2 linked regions of the Bombyx mori genome follow. The protein of the gene in region 1 purifies or fractionates together with the protein of each later gene. This does not show direct contact. Links are inferred from orthologs where the notes say so. Each region holds a gene or a part of one and is shown on either strand. Other genes may lie near its edges.

Region 1 (11,461 bases):
CAACTATTTAGTACAAATTTACGTTAAACAACAGGCTATTTACTTCATTTAAATTTCTATATTTATATTATTATTATTATTTATACAGGCTAAAAACAGAAAATAGTTAAGTATAATTTCTCCTCATTTTATCTACAGATTTTCTTATTTTTTATATAATAGTCAAAATAATTACGTACCTTTTATGGCGTCAACAATGGCACGTCGCTTCTTTCTAATTGGCACTATGTTACTGGCCCGTCCCTCTATGTCAGCTTGAAAAGTTACTGGATCACCAACCTGCAGAATCTCACGCTTGCATGATAATCCCATAATGCCAAACTCATAGCTTGTCCCACCTTCCACTTGAATCAAACCTGAAGAACAAAAAAAGTGCACTAAACTCATAATTCAAACAAAATTATAGTTTAAAACTAAACTAAAAAGATACGCTTTAATAACGAGCACAACTAAATAATCGAAAAATAAAATTATGGACCCCTTGTGGACCCACGGGGTGCCGTACAGTTGTCGTCGCAAAGGCCACCGAAAGTTTCGGTCGACGGCCTAAGAGGAATATAGCTCGGTTGACGGCACGGCCAACTCGCACCTTTCATACTCGTCGAACTCGGCGAGAGTTCGACGTGCAACCTAACCTAAGCATCAGCCCGATCAGTTTCTCGCCAGATCTTCTCAGCGGATCGCAATTCCGATCCGGTAGTAGATTCATTCGCAAAACAGCTACTCTTAAATCGTTAGGTATCCTTTGGAAGCGCTCGGGTAGCTGTTAGCAAATCCCACCCCTCCTGACTGAGCCCTTGCTCGCCCACCTGCCCTGGTAAAACTAGAAAGGCCTCCGAGCCACCAGTAACCTCTCAAACATAAAAAAATACTCCGGACACCCCGTTGAGTCAGAACAGCGTGGGTCGAGGAGTTTACTCTTTCGTGAGCCGGTTGCTCTGTTGAAAAACACGGGTAGAACAATTGCATGTCATCTACAATGCCAAACTGGCCAGCGGGAAAAACTATAAATAAACCCTCAGGGGGCGGGATGCAGAAGACATTCCTATCATAGCTCTCTTACCTATTTTGACAATTTCTAATTTGTAAAGTTAAGTAAAATTGTTAACGAGACAAAAGTTAAATGAATTAAAAGATTAAATTTTGTTATCAGCACAATGCACAACTGTTAATACTTATATAATAATTTAATTATTTTTCAATTCAATCGATTAAATAAGCAATCTCTCTAAGTGACGCGACAACACTATTACTAGCACAATTATTGTGTAACTAAAGCGGGTACGTCCAGAACCAAGGATCAATAAGATCAAGAGTGCATGATAAGCTAACAAGCTGAATTCATCAATGAATCTCAATTTTTTTATCCAGTGAACCAAAGCAATAACTCCTCATTTTTACTTTGCAGTCAACGTATATCTCTCTCTCTCTTCAATCGGTCCCTCGTTGCTGAGGATCGTGACTCAGTTTGATTCCGTAAACTAGCTGTCTCCATCGATCCCGTTCTCTAGCTTGGTGGAGAGCGTCGCTAACAGGTATTTTTAGTTCCTCCGCTATTTAGTCTGACCATCATTCGGGACCTCTACCCCTAGGCCTTTTTCCCTCGACTAGGGTTGTAAATACAACTATAATTTTTCGTGGGTTTTCCAGACTTCAATACTAAAATTTGCTTACCGGAATATTGGGCTTGATCAGGGTTCAGAGCCCGTAAGGTTCTCGTCACAGTTCCATTTAGAGTTGGTTCTAGCGGCTTCGCAATAGGTATAGTACCTCGAGCCAAAACACGGACGTATTCAGCGCTTGCACAGCCCCCGCCAGAGCCGTTCAGGCGACCCAAACTATACTCGACTTCGATGCCCAATTCCAAATTTTCCGGGCTACCTTCCAAATTACTGAAATTTAAGATTAACAAGTTTAGTGAATTTCGTATACTCAAATTTCTTAAATATATTACAACATCTCAGCGCCAGGCTTAAATAAAATAATATTCGCATTATATATGCGTTTTGTTTGTTAAATATTCGCTTGTGTATTTTTTCTATCAACAAAGAGATTTTGGTGAACTCATTGTATGCCTATTGGTACCAATCAAAAAGTTATCAACAATCCATCATAATGGGAATTACTATATGAATTTTTTATAAAAACAAAATTGAAGTTTACAATCTATTTAAGAAGAAGAAAGGACAGTTTTAATAATTCTTTCTTTTTTTGCTACTTTTGATATGAATCTTGTTTAATTTGAAAAAAATAAAATAATCTGCAAAGCATAACAACACATTTCATATTTAATACAGTACTTACTTGCAATCCTTTACGATTGCGAAAAATACACCATTAATACAATCGCTTCGCTGCTTATGCAATAAAAGCGCTATAGACTAGAACTATAAATAAACGCACTTTACAAAGGGGGCGATAAACCCGCTTTAGATAGCATTAGTTACGTTCAGCGGCGCTGAATAAAATAAATTGAAAATATCGTTCACAAAGGGATAGAAAGAAAAAGGTAAAAGCAACGTATTATAAGCGTGTTCATTTTTTACATACTATAATAAGAGGTACGTTGATACTGAGCAAAATAATTTTAATACATGCAAACAAAATGAGTAAAGCAAATTATTTTTAAATATAAAAAAAAATATCTACTTATATACATTTCGCAGTGCAAGTGAAATGATTCGTTGATTTTCAAGTAATGAATTTTCTTTCATTTTCTAAGCCAATTTTCATACGTTTTTCATCTTTTTTTTTCATTAAGAAGATCGCTGTGTAAGTGTTGAGCTCATCTGGTATTAAGTAGTTATTGCGGCCGATAACCATCATAACGTGAACGTTGTGAACTACCTTGAGACATGAAGTTTATGAATACTGCCACCCACGATGAGATATGAGGTTTAAGTCCCAATTTTATTGTAAAACAGTTACCACTCGCTCCAAGCCGAAACTAGGACACCCTACCACCAGTTTCATGAAAATAATCTATTAAAAAAATAGATTGATTGGACGTATTTTTTGTAATCATCAGCAAATAGAAAAAAATCAAGGTTTAATATCAATATTACGCACCTGAAGTGGAAAAACACTTCTTTGGTGTGATCTGATGTTTCAATAAAACCAAATCCATCTTTCAGAGCAGCTATGAAACCTTGCATGATGGGACGGCTGCCGTTTCCATTACTCGAGTTGCCGTTTGTAAGACTGTGTTGGACTTGTACTGACATCGCTACAAGCTCCTTTGTGCGTTTAACCTGTGGAATTATTTATAAATATTATGTTTCCGCTTATTTTGTTTTCCATATATTCATTACACTACAACAAAGCATTGATTAATGGGAATTTCAACGAAACCGTTACATGTAAAACTAAGCAATAATAATAATAATAATAGTTTCTCAAGTAATATAAAAAATATAACGCGGGTACTTCGTAGAAGATTCTCAAAAAAAAGGCAAAGAAAAAGATATAGAATAAACTATTTAGCAATTGTAGAGTATGATAGCCCACAAAGTAACACGTGCATTAAACCTATCTCCATCATACGCTCAATATTCCTGAGCATTATCACCAGAGCGCAAGTATACGCTCAAATTTTCTAGAGATTTCCCTACGAAAGAAGTCTAAAACGTTATATCATTTGGATCAAAAGAAACTTAATTTTCAATGTGACAACTGTGAAGTGACTTTATGCATTAAATATTTCGACAAAACAAATACATATCCAATGTTAGCAATTTTGTTGTTAAGAGATAAAGTTTTTTCGTAATTTATATATAACACAAATTAAATGTGTTTTTACGTGTTTATTTTTTTACATTACGTTTAATTATAATGTAAACGTGCACATTCCTCAACATTTCTGGTATGTTGTTTAAAAAAAACTGCAACAAGTACTTTTGAGAGTCCTCTCTTGATGTAGATCTGGCACTATAATGAATTCTGAAGAGACCAAAACAAATAAAAATCTGAGGGTGAATAATTATGGCAATATGTTAGAATCATTAACACTACCCAAACAAGCTTACTCAATATTTAATGAGTGGCCAAAGTTGTGTGTAGTTTCACGTTTTTTTCACGACACCCTTTGTGTTAACCAATTCCGGCTACTTTTATTTTTTAATTAACTTGTTCGAGTCCTTTCAGCTTTTAACAGTAGTAATCTGAATCGACGATTTTGCCCGGCAGTTAAAGCTCAAATTAACGATGCCCTTACAATCCAAGCATACGCGAGCATCATCTTACTGCGAATTAATCCGGGTTTCGCTAGTTTGGAGCTTAACTGCTCTTTGACAGCTTTTTAGCACGTTACGTGTAGTCCTGTTTCAGACAATCTTCTATTGACCACTATCAATGAATTTTTTTTTAAGCGGTTCAGTTTCATTACTTTCAAAAAGAGAATAAAAAACGATTCATAAGTTTATTCTCGCTCGTGTATAATACCGACGTTTTTCTCTATAGGCAAACTCCTTTTCAAAACTGTTTTGTAGTGAGCCTCTAACCCCTCTAGCCACTCAGTTATATCGTCCTATCACTAACAAGCCGACCTTGCTCCACTTTTTCAAAGAATGGCATCGACTTTGCCCCGATACAGGTCGACCAGAGCAAGCTTCATGTTTGACGTAAAAATTCCTGGACTTGGCTTGAACCAATTTTATGCTAGTCTTAATGACACTTCGATAAGTTTATAAAACGTCACTTTTTCTGTAAGTTAACTTCAAAATATATCGCAACTTCTTCGTCAGATCCGCTTATTTTCGACAGAAAATCAATATAAAAATGGAGGTAAACCGTTTCCACAAAAAAAAATTAATGTCATCTATTCAATGGTATAAAAACTAGTCAGATACAAATAGTATAACCAAAGACATTTTACTGTGATTTATTATTACTTATAAATTCGAAAAAACTTAATCACTTTGGCAAGGTTTATTTTCGCTTATAATGCAAATGGATTTAGGGTCAAATGAAAACATATGTATCACAGAGAATAATGCAATGACCACATAATAACCAACTTCGATTTTATACTAATTTACATTTTTCGAATTGCTGTCATTTTCAATGTAACGTTGCGATTTTCTTTAATACCTGTTTATCCTTTAAGGCCCAGAAAGACCTTACACTAAGAAGTATATTAAGCTATTAAGACCTGACCAATAGCCTAATAACACCTCCAGAGGTGCGACCACATTTGTCCTAAGAGAAGTCCAGTCACTCATTTATAAAATTCTTCCAGCATTTGACGGCCTCCTGCTACTAGAGACCGAACAAAAGTCAAAAATACGGGAGAACCTATCAAACTCTTGTTTCTCAAAATCATCACGCGTACTTTACAACACTGTCAGCTCGTAAACGACGATACCAATCCTTTTTAAAAAGTCCTCAATAAAATTTTAGTAATTTAGTAATTTATAAACTTGTGCTTCGAAAATACACTGATAGAATCTACTGCCGTACAATCACAGTATAACAAACTACGGAGCACTTCAGATCTGTTTCTATGACAAGTCATTCTAGAAACTTCGACCCCTATATCTCAATACGAAATTTACTTCGATACCAGACTACCGCTTACCGTTAGAAACGCACACATCTCTGACCTAATAATATTCGGTTACCTATTATTAGGTGCTGTCTGCTCGTCGACTGAAGTAAAGCATCTAACGCGTAAACAGTCTTTAGGTACCACAAGCACCGGTCACCGTCCTCGTCGAACCCGTCGCTTGCGACGAAGGGCTCGACGAGCAAATTAACCCACAGACACAGCCCACTGAGTTTCTCGCCGGATCTTCTCAGTGGATCGCGTTTCCGATCCGGTGGTAGATTCTGCGAAGCACTGCTCTTGCTAGGGCCAGTGTTAGCAACAGTCCGGTTTGAGCCCGGTGAGCTCACCTACACGTTAGGGCGAAGCTGAAATAGCCTCTCAAAGCTATCAGCATAGGTAGGAAAAAAAAGTAAACAGTCCTGTTTGAATTCCTTCTGCAATTCAGTACTTCTAACTGTTACAAACTTAATATTCTAATTTAATTCAAAATTAGAAATGGAGTGATGAAAAGTGTTTATGGTCCACCTGTTATTTAGGTATTTACAAAGGATAAGTATCACAAATAAAAAACCTTCCCACCTTGGGACATGGGACATCCTCAAGATTTTTGTAATAAGAAAATCCTATCATTTATATTCAGATGTAAACTACCCTCTCATTTGAAAACCCTCACTTCTATCACGTGCGTGTTTTTTTTTCACTTCATTTTCATTTAGGAACAACTTGTTCATTTATTACATTCGCAAAGCAGTTATGTAGCAATAGCCGCACTGCACTGGCAAAATTAAAATATACATTACCTGGTATAAGTCGAAGGTGACCTTGTCTCCAACACGGGGTAGCATTTTTGATTCGCATTTTTTGGCCATAAAAGGCAGAGATTTCTTAGTCTGATTAATCTGACAAGAGATTAGTCCATTTGTATCCGGCTGAAGGAAAAAGCTTTGTTTATTATTTACGTATAATAAAAGAAGCAATTCATTAATTACATCTTGGTATATTTTAATGGACTTTAATAGACCGCATTAGTTACTACCGTCGTTTATCAATCTAAAAATTGAACAGTAGAATAACATTTAAATATTTCATACCAAATCATAGTCAATTTGTCTAGTTTCCAATACTGCGTCTTTCGTCTATGATGACAAAAACAATTTTGTATAAATAAAACTTAACATGGCAATATAGGTAAAATATATACGTACGTACATTCCACATACCGCAGTCCCAAGCTATGTTTTTCTCCCGGGTTATTAGCACTGATGCACACTTGACAAATAAAGCCAGACCAGAACTCAACCATCAGCAAAAGATGTTAACTTCGATCGGGAATAGAATCCACGCCCCTTGTTACAATAGACCCATCTGCTCTCTAATAAACAATCCGACGTGACGATATAACGGACTAAGAAGGCGCTATCAGCATCGAACGTTGTTATCGCCATTGAAGTTTGAATGCAAATTTGGCACATTTAATACCTTTTTTGCGTTATGCTACTTAAAAAGCCTCATGAGCGACTATCACCTCCTATACTACGGGTGATTTATAAATAACTTATGTGAGTCGTATTATGTCTCAAGCACACTATAAAGAAGTCCAATCTTGCCTCAAAAATACCTCATACGCGTTGCCTGAAAATTCCTCAAAAATTATCCCGCGGTTAGGGCGTTAAGAACTTACTGGAGGCTGTCGGGTCGGACTGCCGGTGTTGTTGTACACTTGAGCTTCCTTGGTCACAACACCTCTGACGCCGCGCTCGATCAGAGTCTCGAACTGAACCGTGCCCGGCGAGAGATGCTTGATGCGAATAGCTGATTGCCGCGTGTTCATGTTCGAGAATGTCGATAAATGGTCAACGGTAAACTCCACCTGCGGAATACTTTAAATTTGCACCCGGATTCAAGGTTTAATTTCCATGGTAATTTGTTTGTAACTGTGAGAGCAGAGTATCTAGCTTAACAAGTATGTTCAGTTGACATACAGAGTATACGAAAATTCGACTAAATCTCCTCGCGCCGTCAGTACTTTTTCATGATTCAGTAACTGTATCTACGATTACCTGGTTGTTCCTCGTTGAATAAATTAAAATCAACAAAATTTACCCTTGCTTAATTACTTGCACTACAAGTAATTATGAACTTACACCACTTTATCCATTACTAGCCAAGAAGGTCCGGTTTGAAGGGTGAGAAGATAGTTTTACATAACGGTTATGATTTTAACTCCAGTCACCGTCCCAAATTAACCCAGACACAGCCCACTGAGTTTCTCGCCGGATCTTCTCAGCGGGTCGCGTTTCTGATCTGGTGGTAAATTCTGCGAAACACTGCTCTTGCTAAGACCAGTGTTAGTCACACTTCCGGTTTGAGCCCCGAGAGCTCACCTACATTAGGGTGAAACTGAAATAGCCTCTCAGCTGATAGCCTTGAGAGGTTATTTCAGCTTCACCATAAGCAGGAAAAAAAAGAGAAAAAGAAAATTAACTTCGTGTCTAACATCATATACATTTAACATAAGTAGCGAGCGGCATTCATGTTGTCATTTACTCTAATTCCCGGTGAACACTAAATGTAGGCCGTTAACTACTCCGCACATCAAGACTTATAAATATTATGTCAATATAACAACTTAATTAAAAAAATAAACAAACACTAACGTGTTTTTATAACAAGACTAATTGAGTAATTGAGACTTAATGTGTGTGTCAGCATTCACTATTCAATAACAAAAGCGTTACGTATATTTACAATTTATTCTATTTGATCACAACATGATTTTAACGTACGTAAAATGAGCATTGTAAGCAGTATCTTAGAAGCGCTAATGTTCTCTTTTAAAAGTACTATATTGAAAATACAGTTCCACAATCCGGACCAATTTTACTATAGTACTCTTTGGAGACATATTTACCTCATCTCCAACGGTGAGATCTTGTCCTAAGCGAAGAACCTCGGCGAAATGAAAGAACATAGTCTGTTCTCTTTCCACGCAACGGATGAATCCGAACCCTTCCCGCAGAGAGCACACGAGGCCTTGCTCCCGCCTGTTACAATCACTTATGCAATTATCAAACGGGTCAAGGTTAAACTATATTACGTAAAAGTATTGAACACATTTTATTGTAGTGTATTTCAGATAAATTCATCAATTTAGCTGACTAATTTCCTTTTCTTACACTAGATCGATGAACTAGTTCATGGCCCCGGCTGATGTTAAGCGTTTTGCGGAGCCAGTAAATATCGTAACGTGAATGTTACCTTCCATCTTCTCACATGAGACGGAAGTATCTTGTAGAATGTATTATTTAAATAAAAGTAGATTTAAGTTTAAGATATTAGTGGTGGTGGTGGTGGGATAAATGTTTGGCTCGTTCGGGAACCAGTCTTGCTAATGTCGGCCATAAAAAAATCATTATTTCCGACTATAAGTGTAAAGATAGCCACTATTTCAATGCAAATGAGACTTGAACCTCATTTCTCGTTATATACGGCAAGATTAACACTGCAGGGTCTGAGCTTCGGTTGCCGCTTAATTCGCTGATTCGCTTATCAAGTACAAACAAACGCCAGTAAAAAAAAAAACAATTTACAATTTTTTTCTTGAACATTAGTTCATAATTGAATACCTAGCTATTACTCCGGCTGGCGTGAGTTGTATACATTATTATATTACACTGCACTACAGATAATATACATATCAATGAAAATGAGGTTTTATTATTCAAATATTTACTATAGTTTTTGTAGGTATTTTGTAGGATTCCCAAATTCGAAAATTTCTCCTTGACTTAGCTCAATGCATATCTCATTGTTTGCTAAATTTAATTTAAACGAACAATGGTTTCGACGTATACGACTCACCGTTCGCCAGATACATAAAAAGATTCATCGAGGAGAGAAATATTAGTGGCGCGCTTGAGCTGATCACGACGATCGGTTGCAACTTGAAACTGCACCCAATCTCCGTGTCGGAGCGTAAACTCACCACACTGGTCTTTATCTCCAAAGGGGACCTGGTAAGAATAGTTTAAATGGTAATTTTTATAAGAAGGTACCATACAGTTTTTTTTATTGCTTAGATGTGTGGACGAGCTCACAGCTCACCTGGTGTTAAGTGGTTACTGGAACCCATAGACATCTACAACGCAAATGCGCCACCCACCTTGAGATATAAGTTCTAAGGTCTCAAGTACAGTTACAACGGCTGCCCCACCCTTCAAACCGAAACGCATTACTGCTTCACGGCAGAAATAAGCAGGGCGCTGGTACCTATCCGCGCGGACTCACAAATTTTATATTGCTATCGAAATCAGACGCGCTTACGCCTCACCTGTTCAAGATTAGTTCACCGTCATAAACTGGCAAGCTAATTCCGAGAACTTTTTTGATGACTCTAGCATTCTATCTTGCCAATGCACACGTCCGCAACGTATTGCAAAATTACGCCAAAGCACATCACAAAAAGAGTCGTATTGTAAATTCGAACATAGTACGTTAGAAGAAGGGTCACAACATTTTGTTCAAATGAATGAGCTTTGTAGTGTGTACATTGCAAGCACATGGTTCCGATAAAAAGCTGTGTTAGTAAATCTATCGGGAAATAAATAAATAAAGAAATGAATCATGATAAAAAAAGATAATGTTCGTAATATTTATATTTACAAATTTTATCATCATCTAATGTTGCAAATTAATTATTGCTAATGTTGGGACGAATTTTTACTTTTACTATTCAGTCATAAAAAATCGAAATACAGTAATGTTATGTTTCTCATACTTAACCTCTACTATTGTCCCTAACCTTATACTGAACACTTGTACTAGAGAGTAAGTTAAATCCGACGTTTTTAGCCGCGAATAAGTCACGGATTTCGGTGTGAAATATAAAAATAAATAATGAGGGATGCACAAGACACCTGGGCCCCAAACTAGAATATCCTTTATTGAAACTGATACATACTTATGTATATAAAATATAAATACATGGGATAATCGTTAAACAATACAAATGAGACGAACCTCATGTCTTTAGTGACAGTAATCACCCTTATAATATATATGAGCTCCGATAACTACAATACATAACACGAGGTGATCTGTGAGCTCGTGTATCCAACCATCTAGTTCAAGAAATGAATAAAGAACTGCTTTTTTCTTATGATGTTTGTGTGTAAACGTCATAACCCCATTCTGTACCCATTTCAATATAAAATAGACCGTTTAAATTTCATTTACATAGCTTATATAACCTTCGAATAAATTGGCTCTAACAAGAGACAATATAAAATGTTCCAAAAGAAGTATTGTTAAGTGTACCAAAAGAAAAAGGGTTCCAAAGAAAACGAGAAAGACGCACTGAAAAGGTGACCTAATTGAAGTTTGAATTGCCCATACATAAAAGCAGGCAGGTCATATAACTATGTGTTTTGAAATGCTGAGGAGAGGGTAATGTATATAGAAAAATGATTTTATAGGGCAGCATTTAAAAAAAACTCTTTGTACAATTATAACAAGTCCTTGAATAGATGTTAATATGTATACACAATTCCTACTTATATCTCATAGTTATTATTCTATTATCTATTTATTATTTATCTATTACTTCTACTTATATCTCATATCAAGTTTCTACTTATAGACTAATTATAGATATATTAATATGAATCATAACTTATTTGCAAATAACCAAACAAATGTACCTCAACTTCAGAATGATCTGCAGCACGGTATCGGATGCGCCCAGGGAGAGGATCGTTCTGTGTTGCACGCACCAAGTTACCGCGTTCCAAAGGCTTCAACACCTGACCACGCATTATTTCAGGACTTACATCTTCAAACACAACTGAACCACTTGGTAACTTAGTAATGTTACATGCCACTTCTTTGCCCTATGAAGAACACAAAGTTATAAATATC
Region 2 (12,025 bases), on another chromosome or scaffold:
TGCAGAATAAGTTTCTCAAGTGTTAATCTGACAAAATACAATAATAGATACATTAGGGATATTGAAGTGACGCTCAAAGGCAATTATTCAGATCACTATTATATTTTAATATAGCTTTTTTTATTGCCTTATGGGTGGACGAGCTCACAGCCCACCTGGTGTTAGGTGGTTACTGGAGCCCATAGACATCTACAACGTAAATGCGCCACCCACCTCGAGATATAAATTCTAAGGTCTCAGTATATTTACAACGGCTGCTCCACCCTTCAAACCGAAACGCTGCTTCACGGCAGAAATAAGCAGGCTAGTAATTACCAGTAATTACGCAAATTTAGCATTTAAGAGTACTTTTTACAGCTCCAAAAAAAAATTTATGACAAGTCCTTCTTCAAACGAGTCTTGTGGAGAGTATTAAACGGTAGGTAGGGAATAGATCTGCCCCTGCATTGCTGATATCCATGAGCGACGGTACCCACTCACCACTATCAGATGGGCTGCATAAACTCGTATGCCTACGGGGAAAATACAAAAAAAGATAATTAAGATATGACCTGGCTAGTGGAGGGTTGGCACGCGTGTCAGTTGGCCGGCACCTCCTTGTACCCGTTAGCGAGGGGCACGGTCTCGTTGGCGCGGCGCCACAGCCCGTAGGCGCGGCCCGGCACCGCCTGCCACAGCCGCACCGTGCCGTCCTCCGAGCCGGACGCGTACAGCTCTCCGTCCGGGGACCATCGCACGCAGTGCACCGGACCGAAGTGACCCCTGTTCGACTCTGTTACAAACGTTTAGCTTTTTAATACGCTTTTATTAGCTTGAGTGTGCTTAGTGAGAGTTTTTTAAAGTTCTCGATAGCGTAAAAGTTAGCTCATATTTGTATGGAATGGGATCGTTTGCGTACGTTTACCGCTAGGGGCGCTGTTCCAACTACATACGAAATTGGGTTAACTTTTACGCTATCGAGAAGTACAAGTATCTGAAATACAAAATGTAATATAATACGTATTTTCATCTTGTAACTATAAAACTTTTTTTAATTCATTTTGTAACTTTCATTTTAAATAAGTTTTGTTTGATATTTTAGTATTTTGTAAATACTATTTTTGCTAAAATACTTTTAGTAATAGATAACTGATTCTTTGATGACATCTTAGGCGACATTATTTTTATACGTCATTGTCGCCGTAAATAAAACTGAACGCGCCATTGAAACTTTAGTCTGGGGCCAAATTGATAGATGGTCTGGCAATACTTTCCCCTTCTACAAAATATCGGCTATGGCGCTTGAGTCGTGTCATATATATTTTTTTTTTAAATATATTATTTATTTTGTATCACGTTTGTTCGATCAATGCGATTTACATGTAAAAAAATAAACTTTCATTTCAAAAATAAAAATTCAACCAACTAACCCAGTTCAGTTCCAGTATTGTAGTCATATTTGTAGACTTTTAGATCGTCTCCGCCGCACACGAAGGTCGCCCGGCTCGGAGCCAGCGACGCCGAATAGCACTTCGTTGGCACGGGGAACTCGCGTAGCTTGCGCATCGTGTCCGACGTATAAAACGATACGTTTGTACCTGGAAAAAAAAAACTAAATATTGTTACGCCTTTACGAGCAACGCCATCTATCGTCGATTAGTAGAAACGAATATCAAAAGAACCAATAAAACCTAGAACGCTCGTAAAGTACAACGCCATCTATTATCAAATGACGGAAACATACGTCGAAACTACTCGACTTGTCAAGAATGTTCTCGATAATTCTAGGGATGTCATATTGAGTATAAAAGCGTTGCAGAGATGCGAAGCGAAACAGTGAACGGATGAGCTAAAGCGATGCGGGAGCAGTAAATTAAGAATTTTAAAGTGTTCGTTAGTGTTCTAAGTCTTAATACAGTTACTATTTGTACTTCGGTAGAATTTTTATTTATCCCGAACCCCAGCGCGTAACAATATTAATTCGCCATATATTTTGCAGATGCCACACTAAAACCGAGTAGAGCCTTTTGATTTATCGAATCAATTATCGCATCGCATTCTGATGGTAGGCAGCGTTTCAGCTGTTATCTAATAGTTCTTGAAGTTTTCCATACCGCTAACACGCAAGCACTTTTGTGACGTCACAGTTGTGAGCGTTAAGATTTTTTTTCAATGGACACCATCTTACTGCTTACAGCATATTCTCTGTGTGTCATTTACTTTCACAAAAGTGAAAAAGGTTTTATCTCAAGTCATAAGATATTCGTTACAAATTTCTTAAACTGCATATTGCAGTTGTACAGAACCCAATTTTGTATTTTTTTTAAAACTTATACAACAATGTTATTTTACTAACAAAACAAAAAGTACCGTGTGCAACAGTCAATATGGCTCCATCCCTGGACAACTCTAGACTATTAGGGACCGACTGGAATTCAACCTTTTGGACTTCCTGAAAATGTTGAGAATATGACATTTTAAATTATCATCACAGAAAATGACATTATTTTATTTATATTATATTATTATTTTATTATATTATTTATGTTTAAGCTTCTCTTAAAAGTTATTTTAAATTTGATTTGTATGAAGACAACTTTTCGCTATATAAATGATGCTTTCACTATTGGCGTATTCTTTTGTAATAATTCTTGTTTCATGAACAGCCACATGACGTACTTCGTGTACTGATATATATAATATAAAGCTTTCGTAAGTTTAAAATTGGAGATACCACATTTTCAAATTACAAAATACTTCAATCTTTTCCAATATACTCTATTTTTCAGTAGCATTGTAAGTATGAAATTCTTCTCTTTATTTATTAATTCAAATATGTATTAACCATATTAAGTTTTATGGCGTTTGTTACCAACAAATACAAAGCCAGCTTAAAACCCCTCTGACCATAGGACTATTTTCGAAGTTGACTTGAAGAAGTACAATAAATATAACAATTATTATTATTTCGTTACAATTTTAGAATTTATATTTAAAAATATAAATACATAGATTGGTAGTATGATGTTTTAGCACTGAATGAGGATTTCAATGTCTTCCTAAAATATTTATAAAGGCTCTCACTTATTGTCTTATGTCACATATTTTACTTACTAAAAAATATAGTTGTTTTTATAGTTTATAGCAAAATAAGAAATTTATAGCAACACTGGCAATATAAAATTATCTTGATAAAACTGTCAAAAAATATTATGATCCTATACAAGTATGTACTGTAGTCTGTGATAGGACGATTCATAGTATACATTTCGATTACTCACTTCTCCACTGTTACGATCCCAAACGCGCATAGTATTGTCATCACTGACACTCACGATTCGAGAGTTATTCAGGAACACTGCGTGTCTTATGCTACTTGTATGTCCGTTTATTTTTTCGATTGCTGTGAAATATAAACATTATTATTTGTAGTAAAATTAATTAACCACCCGCCCACCAAGAACATTTATGCTAGGCAAGTAAGCAGGATTTTGATCGGACCACTATTGCTAATAAAAGGAGTGATCCACAATTGTCAAAAATATTTTGACTGTCATCAGTTAACAAAAGAAATCAACATAATTTTTCTATGAGATTAATATTAAAATTCAGACCACATATTGTAGGCTTTGATAATATATACCAGCCTTTTTTGCTGTATTCAGTTTGTCATATCTATGGTCTCCAGTAACTACGTAACAATAAAGCAATAATAAGATTATATAAAGAAATTTTAGTTCATAGTTACTATAGTGGTCTTAATTCATTCAAAAACTAGTCTAAACAGTAACATAAACCAAATTAAGCAACAATTACATACGTCCAGCTTCAAGCTTGTTGAGGTCAAAAACTCGTATAAGTTTCTCATTGCTAGCAGTCACCAACAATGTGTCATCGGCATTGAAATTGACACTTTTCACAATGTGTTCATGTTCAAAAGTGTGGACCATATCACCATATCGAGCATCCCACAATTTTGCTGTAAATATAAAATTTGATTTTAAGTAATTTGTAATAGTTATTTTAATCACTTTTTACTAAATTTACTATTTTGGGTTTTGTGACCAAAAATTATCATTAACTCAAAATCTACACACTCGAAATAGGTTAGGCATATTTTTAGTTATTTCAAATCGTGAAATCGGTCACATATCACAGAGTGGAATGGAAATTTAATATGAAAAAACTTTTTTATATTATTATATTTATTTCAAAAAATATGTATTTTGTTCAGCATTTTAGCTTCACAAAGCACTTTAAGTACATATCTAAGAAAATACTCAGAGCTTAAACATTTAATATTTTTGGCTTCTTTCATTACTATTTTAGTAAGTCAGTGGCTAAAGTAGACCATGGTATTTTGTGTAAATGACAAAAATATTATAACTTTAGATCATATTAATAAAACAAAAAATTCAAACCTATGAGATTAAAGTACAAAATAATCACTCACAGTGTGATATCCTTAATCTAATTAGTAGCTTATTTGAAGTGTACAGTTTCAGATTTACATTTCAATAAAAGCAGTTTAACTTACTTGTTTAATATTTACCTGTAAAATCGGCTGCCCCACTAGCAGCCAAGTTTGCATTTTGTGTAAGTGCCACACCCCAAACAGCACCCTTGTGACCTTCAAATGTTCCAATCCAGTCACCAGTTTCACCTTGTCGTAACATAGGCTTGCCATCTTAATAACAAAACATGCCATTACATTATAATCTGAATAAAAGCAAAACCAGAAATCATATTAATAAAATATGAGGAATAAACAACCTTGTTAACAGTGAAGATAGCTCATTTATGTAAATAATTAGACAAATTAAGCATTCATACATAAACTATGTTGATACATGAGATAGTATATAATGATAGTAAAAGACAATCATAGCTCATACATTGTTTAAAGCTCTTTGTAAATTAACTAGTTGCTATTACATTTTAGTTTTGTTATGTTTAAAAATATCTGGTTATTGCTTTTTTACAACTACTAAATTATTTTCAGTGTCCAGATTATAACTCATAATAAGTTTCTGTTGATATTATTTTAAAATTCTGATTTTGTATAAAAGAACACAAAACATGATAACAACTATTAATTATACAAGGAAATAAATAAACAATACTACACTACATAATAACAACATTCAAGTATGCTATTTCCTGATTTTTATACTTATTTACATATAAAAAAAAGATTAATTCATCAGAGATTAATGGAACTATTAAATCAGAACCAAAACAGGTAACAGCTAAAACCAAGGATATCATACAAACAAAACATGTAAGCCAAGACTTGAATATAATTAATTTCACATTAGCAATACAAGGAAGTGAAAATTATAATAATTATCATTTATTTCTGATTTTCATTATAATAAAATTTACAGATAAGTCATTGTGTTAGAGTATTATGTTGTCAGAACTCCCATATCATTATTAATAATGTCAAGTACAACAAACCTTGAGCTGGTACAAGGTGACCCAGAATAAGTGAAATGTCAACATTTAATTTAATACAGGAATAAACTTCCGAGCTCGCTCCAAATTTGTATGCATTCAAAGTTGAAAAACTTGTATGTCATGCACTAGCCTCTAGTACATGAATAAAAAGCACGACGCGGCCCAAGGCAAACTGGCGCCGAGGAAACACACAAGTGGATATTCAAGGTGCTTCCTGCATGTCCGGAAAGAGAAGGTCGCAACATGCATAGAATGCACGCCGGCCAAACCTACTGTTCAGAACAAAACAACTAAAGTGAAGGTCTCATAAACGTAGCACGACGCCCGACATTTGTCAACGTGAAACACACCCCACTAATATTAGAAAAAATTATGTTTCCTATATATGTCACGACTAAGGCAAAAGCACCCCAAACGAATAAACAATAAAAACTTACCTTTGCAGGCAGAAATCAAATAATATCCGTCTTTTGTAACGTCACTAAAATCCAAATGCACGACTGGTCTCGTGTGGCCACCGCATGTAAGAGGAACTTGTTTAAGCGTTGTCATTTTGTTAAATTAATTTTGATTGTTGTACTTTGGAAAAATAAAACTAAATTATCTTTTTGTAAAACTAAAATTAACCTAATGAGTCTGATCGTACTGAATGTTGACAATCGACTGACGGAAAGGAAAAAGCAGTATTACTAGAAAATATCTTAAAACTACTATCAACATAGCTTTGTTGCAAGCCATCTAAATTTTAAGATATGGCTAAAAGTTTTTTGATAAAATAAAATTTAGGAAGAACAAAAAAAATATTGGCTAATAAAAAGAAACGTTTAGAAATCAGTTTTATAATACTGGTAATATCTTTTATGACGACGTCAATTTAGTATTGACGTGTCTATTGCTTGACGTTTAATGTCAGACCGTTTAATTGGTTACTTCTGATAAGTTTCTTCAAAATAATTTGTTGTTGTGGCAAGTGATATTAATCTAATTTAGCAAGATGGATTTCTTTACATCTATACCAACCCACATAGATTACGTCGGACAAGCAAAAGCAGAGAAATTATACAGGGCAATAATTACATTGTTCAGTATAGTTGGTTTTGTATGGGGTTATATAGTTCAGCAATTCTCGCAGTCAGTGTATATTCTTGGTGCTGGATTTCTGCTTGCTGCCATTCTTACTGTTCCTCCATGGCCAATGTACCGACGCAATCCTCTGAACTGGCAGGTTCCTAAGAACGGTGATGACAAACCAGCAGCCAAGAAAGGAAAGAAGTGAAATTCATTATCTCAAAATTTGTCTGTACAACTTTTACTTCTCAAATATATCCAATAGTTAATAAGTTTTAATTTTGTTTTATTTACATAACTGTCAATCTTAGTTTACACACACTTAAACGCACTATTATAAAATATGTACCAAATTAATCTTTTGAACTTTTAAACTAGCTAAGAAATATATGCACGTACTACAAAAATAAACTCTTACTATTAAGGACAAATGTTTTAAAATGAAACTATTATTAGTTACTTAGATAGATGTGCTCACAGTCCAACTAGTGTGAAGTGGTTATGAGGCCCATAGGCATGAACAACATAAATTATGTCATACTTGAAACATGAGGTCTAAATGTTAGTGCTATAGAGCAATGGCTGCCTGATCCTTCAAATTAAAACACATTACTGCTTTACAGCAGAAATAAGGTTGTAGGAACTACCTATGTGGGCTAACAAGATGCCTTAACACCAATAATTACAAAAATTATCATTTTTACAGGTTCGGTTTGTATTTCCTTATTAGTATTTCAGTGTTGATGTCAATGTTATGAACAATGATAGGTATGAATATCCAAATTGGTACCTTAATGAAAGAAAACATTTTCTGTTTAAATCACATATATTCCTTATGCAAACCAAACATTTCAACAAAAATTTTACTTGTTTCCTATTTGTGACAAATTATGGCATTCATTGTTGCTCAATGTTTATCATTATTACAATCCTACAAATACTATTTATATAAATATTTCAAAAACAAAACAAGTACACAAGTTGTTACAAATTATCCATTGTAGTTAAATCAAATTTATCTTGAAGATTCTTAAAAGCATCAAATATTCTGTTCTCATTGCATGGATCACAATCATTCGTTTGAATATTATCAGCTTCTTCTTTTTGGTTTTCTTTTGGTTTTTCATCATTATCATTCTTGGATTCATTTGTACCTTCAATGGTAGAACTTTGAACATCTTCCTTATCACATACTTGTTGTAATGTAATAACGACAAATGTGAAAGTGATTCCATAGTTGACTATTGTGAGTGATAGGGGTCCCAAAGCTAATATAAATATAGCCATTGTAAATAGTAAAGATGAAACCGCTTCATAATGCTTCCTATAACAATATATAACAAAATGTTTAATTTTATGTGTGTATTGTGTGATTCATTTAGTTTTTATTACACAAGCAAAGTTATTAAGTACATAAATTAATGCGAGCTATAAACTTACATGATGAAATACACCTTATACCACTGTGTAAGGACTAAGATGAGACCATGTGTGTTTCAAAATTACACTATTAACTTGAAATATGTATATGTAAAAGCAAAGAATGACCTTGGGATCATAACAAATAAAAGGAAAATACTAGAAATTAATTTCTTGCAATTTTTTTGACTGTAAAATAGTTCTCACACTTACAAATTTCTTCTGGGACCATTGATTTGCCAGATACAACTGGAACAAACTGACATGACTAGACCAGTGTGATATGACGTATCTGGTTTTAGTACCATGGAATACCTGTTGTAATAATTTTATTTAGTTAGTTAAATTTCATCATTTGGTCTGAGCACACTCGGGATCTTGCCTTCATCAATACATATAAAAAAAATGTAATCTGGTGTCTGTACATTGAATAGAGGTAAAAAAAATACAAATGGGATTAACAACATAACAGTAATAGAAAATCACTATTTTAGGAGTTTCATTATTTTGTTTTGTTCACAACATCTGAACAACTGAATTAATTTTCATATAGTCATCACAGGTAGTTATTAATTTGGCTAAGTTTCATTAAAATTGGATGTACTAAAAAAATTAGTATCATTTAAAAAAAAATCGATATCACTTTTTTACCGAAAGAATTGGTCTGAACCCTGGAAAAGAATATAGACTGCCTTTGATCGTACTGCTGAACACGGGTCTCCGCCTATACAAAATACTACGGTAAACGAAGATGCAAACGGGGCGCAAATAATTTAAATATTTTTTCTCTATACTTTTTTTTACATTGTGACATACCATAATACTGATCATGACGTCAATTTAAACTTACTTAAAGTTTCGCGCCCATGTTAATAATGCTGGAACATTGACTAGAGTTACTGTGATCCACATGAAAAACAACATCATGTGGAAGTTAATGCTATTAAAATCCTCGTCCAAGTCTTTGCTTTCACCTTTAATACTGCCTTCTTTGGGCTTTCGTTCGCTTTCTTTATTCGCAGAAACTAAAGCACAGTCTGTGTTTGAAGAACCGTCTTGTCCTACATTGTTCGTTGAATCCTTATCATTACCTTCAATTTCGTCAATTTCTTTAGATCTGAGATTACTTTCCTTTGCATCCGATAAAGCTTTTGAAATCAAATTGGTTTCAGATTTTTCATATTTGTTTCTTGTCGAGTTGAACATACGACAGACTTTAGAAGCTAGCTTTGCCATTATTTTGTAAACGTAATCTTCTAAATATTCTTCATACATTTTCGAGAGCTGTAAAAGTTAATACAGAATTATTAATTAATTTACGGTAGGCAGCGGCTTGGCTCTGCCCCTGGCATTGCTGAAGTTCATGGGCGACGATAACCACTCACCATCAGGTGGGCCGTATGCTCGTCTGCCTACAAGGGCAATTTTTTTTTTTTGCGATATTTAGTGACGTTTGCTAGATTTTAATAGTCATAAACAATGATAAATTCATTATATTGATCATCACTAACCATAAATGCATAAAATGCGGCACCGGCAGCCAATGAAGCTGCTCCGCATGATAAAGGAACCGCACAAACTAGCGCTGCACTCACGATCATGGGGAGCTTGTGCAATCCGGTGGCCATTTTCTCTGCTAAACTACCACCGCCTCGCCATACTATTCTGAAGCAAAAAAAAGACTATTCAAATGATAGATTCACTTTTACAAAATATGTCAGGCTGACTTATTGTATACTAGCTGACCCGGCACATTTGTGGAGAGTATTAAGCGATAGGCAGCGGCTTGGCTCTGCCCCTGGCATTGCTGAAGTCCATGGGCGACGGTAACCACTCACCATCAGGTGGGCCGTACGCTCGTCTGCCTGCAAGGGCAATAAAAAAAAAACAAAAAAAGAAAAGACTTTGTTGTGCCTCAATCGATAAATAAAAAACCTAAACTTTTGTATAATAATCTTAAAACAAACAAAAGGAAGCCGTCCGACGGGGGACACATCAAAAGAAAAACAAAATTGTTATTTTTATTTAATTCAGAGCATTTTTATATTTATCTAATCTTTTAAACCTTCTCTGGACTTCCACAAATAATTCAAGACCAAAATTAGCCAAATCGGTCCAGCCGTTCTCGAGTTTTAGCGAGACTAACGAACAGCAATTCATTTATATATATATATATATATATATAGACTCTTAATACTCCAAAGATGTAATATTAGCTTTGTGGTGACGATAGTATATTTTTAGAAAATAATCATAAATCAAAGTACTTACTTAAACAGTAATCTATGCGCTATCTGTGATGAAAACACCATTGCACCCATTATAGCAGCAGCTACAATATTGACAATCCCTAATGCTGTCATATAAGCTGGCAACACTAACAGGGATTTGATAAAATACTGCAATTCGAGATCCCTCCAGCTTGCGCTTTCGAACATAAATGAGAACAGCGGAATCGCCCTGAAATAATACAATAAAAAGAGAATAAAACAGGCTTAAAATGAAGAGTGGCTGATGTTATATTTTTATATTCTATAGAATGATGCACGACGCTATGATCGTCGTTATGTTTTGTGTGCAAAAGAATGCAATGAGTTCCCAGTTGTCCCAAAAGTTTGTTAAATGATTATGAGCAAGTTGAAACAGCTGAACGTATTGAGCTTTTATTTTCGGCCATTAATCATAAATTCACCGCCCTATAGACATCACAACATAATGTGACCGCCTACTGAAAGATATGACGTCGAATGTATAATTTTTTTTAACAATAACGGCTACGGAATGAGCTCCCCTCCACGGTGTTTACCGAGCGCTATGACATGTTCTTCTTCAAAAGAGGCTCGTGGAGAGTAATAAGCGGTAGGCAGCGGCTTTGGCTCTGCCCCTGGCATTGCTGAAGTCCATGGGCGACGGTAACCACTCACCATCAGGTGGGCCGTATGCTCGTCTGCCGACAATGCCAATAATAAAAAAACAACTATCGTAGCCTTCAATCAAATACATATTATGAAGATCCGTTACATTTTGGTTTCTAACAGAACCGGCTCATCTGCAAAAATTCTTCAAACCGAAAAGTTACTTACAAAAAAATCTTAGTTGCTAATCTTGAAAACACGAGACAATAATAGGGTTTGACGCCTTCGCTCATTAAAGCTCCATGAATGGTCAAGCATGATCCAGATTCTTGAAAGTTCATAATAATACTTCTGGCAGCTAATAACACTATGGCGGCTACATACGGAATAAGTACTGGACCGTAATTTCGAGTAAACTGAGCGAGGCGATTGTACCACGATGACGATATACTGTATGATGAATAAAAAATAAATTTAGCATTAATGAAAAACAAAAAAATATTTTTGTCAAATTAAAAATAGAATTTCAAATATTGAAACATAGATTAAGAAGTAAACATTTCTATTAAAAAACCCAGACACATATCGATATAGTATTCAGTTACGTTTATAAAACTCACCCTGGAAATAAGTTAAAAAATATTCGTGTGGAATACAGAAAGAAGACTTCTGTTCTAATTTAAAATTGGTTAAATTTGTCCATCAAATAAAGACCGTGTATCTTTATCATACTCTGTCACACACATAGCCAAGTGGACAAACTTATTATAACTGTAATTTAAAACTACACAAAATCACAAGTATAACTCACCTGAGAATAAATTGACATTGAGGATCCAATAGCAAAGTAATTTTCGCGTGCTCGGTGGTTTCCAACCCAAGTGTTAAATTAGGGTTTGTTTTAAAGAGCCTTAACTTCATAGGCGACCTTTTCAAATGCCTAAAAATAGGATTATCACATAACAAAATGTTTTGTGTTGATACAAATATGTTCGAAACATAGCAACCCTATTTTCCTCACCGCGGCGGAAGCGGGAGAGGCGTGGACTTGCAAAATAAAACGACGTGCATCAACGAAAAAACGCACAATCATTTTCGGTCCCGTAAAACTGTACTAATTTTGATCCAATTTAATAAACCAGCTATAAATAAAGTCCACTTTTATTTGAATAAGCCTTGCACCCAACATCTCATCGCAACGGCGCCAACAATATATGATCTTATTTTAATGTTGTTTGACAAAG

The links.
Region 2: the proteins of cold shock domain-containing protein E1 (region 1) and serine-threonine kinase receptor-associated protein purify together in Homo sapiens (affinity purification with mass spectrometry; 3 studies listed by BioGRID and IntAct, counting the BioPlex papers as one, with this or other methods). This does not show direct contact. The link is inferred for Bombyx mori from reciprocal best matches to the Homo sapiens genes CSDE1 and STRAP.

What each region holds. Positions count from the first base shown.
Region 1 is NC_085107.1:6,380,641-6,392,101, reverse strand, and holds part of cold shock domain-containing protein E1, read right to left. Parts: intron 11,434-11,461; coding exon 11,245-11,433; intron 9,559-11,244; coding exon 9,407-9,558; intron 8,590-9,406; coding exon 8,457-8,589; intron 7,416-8,456; coding exon 7,227-7,415; intron 6,475-7,226; coding exon 6,346-6,474; intron 3,252-6,345; coding exon 3,070-3,251; intron 1,893-3,069; coding exon 1,675-1,892; intron 357-1,674; coding exon 180-356; intron 1-179. UniProt on the Homo sapiens protein: RNA-binding protein involved in translationally coupled mRNA turnover.
Region 2 is NC_085123.1:9,315,760-9,327,784, reverse strand, and holds the start of serine-threonine kinase receptor-associated protein, read right to left. Parts: upstream 6,217-12,025; 5' UTR 5,992-6,216; coding exon 5,877-5,991; intron 5,707-5,876; exon of another isoform or gene 5,440-5,706; intron 4,699-5,439; exon of another isoform or gene 4,667-4,698; coding exon 4,532-4,666; intron 3,959-4,531; coding exon 3,800-3,958; intron 3,383-3,799; coding exon 3,261-3,382; intron 2,432-3,260; coding exon 2,350-2,431; intron 1,578-2,349; coding exon 1,410-1,577; intron 773-1,409; coding exon 579-772; 3' UTR 552-578; intron 1-551. Other genes in the region: signal peptidase complex subunit 1, read left to right, coding at 6,434-6,715; GPI inositol-deacylase, read right to left, coding at 7,492-7,831, 8,140-8,241, 8,777-9,210, 9,438-9,591, 10,198-10,386, 11,010-11,231, 11,593-11,721. UniProt on the Homo sapiens protein: The SMN complex catalyzes the assembly of small nuclear ribonucleoproteins (snRNPs), the building blocks of the spliceosome, and thereby plays an important role in the splicing of cellular pre-mRNAs.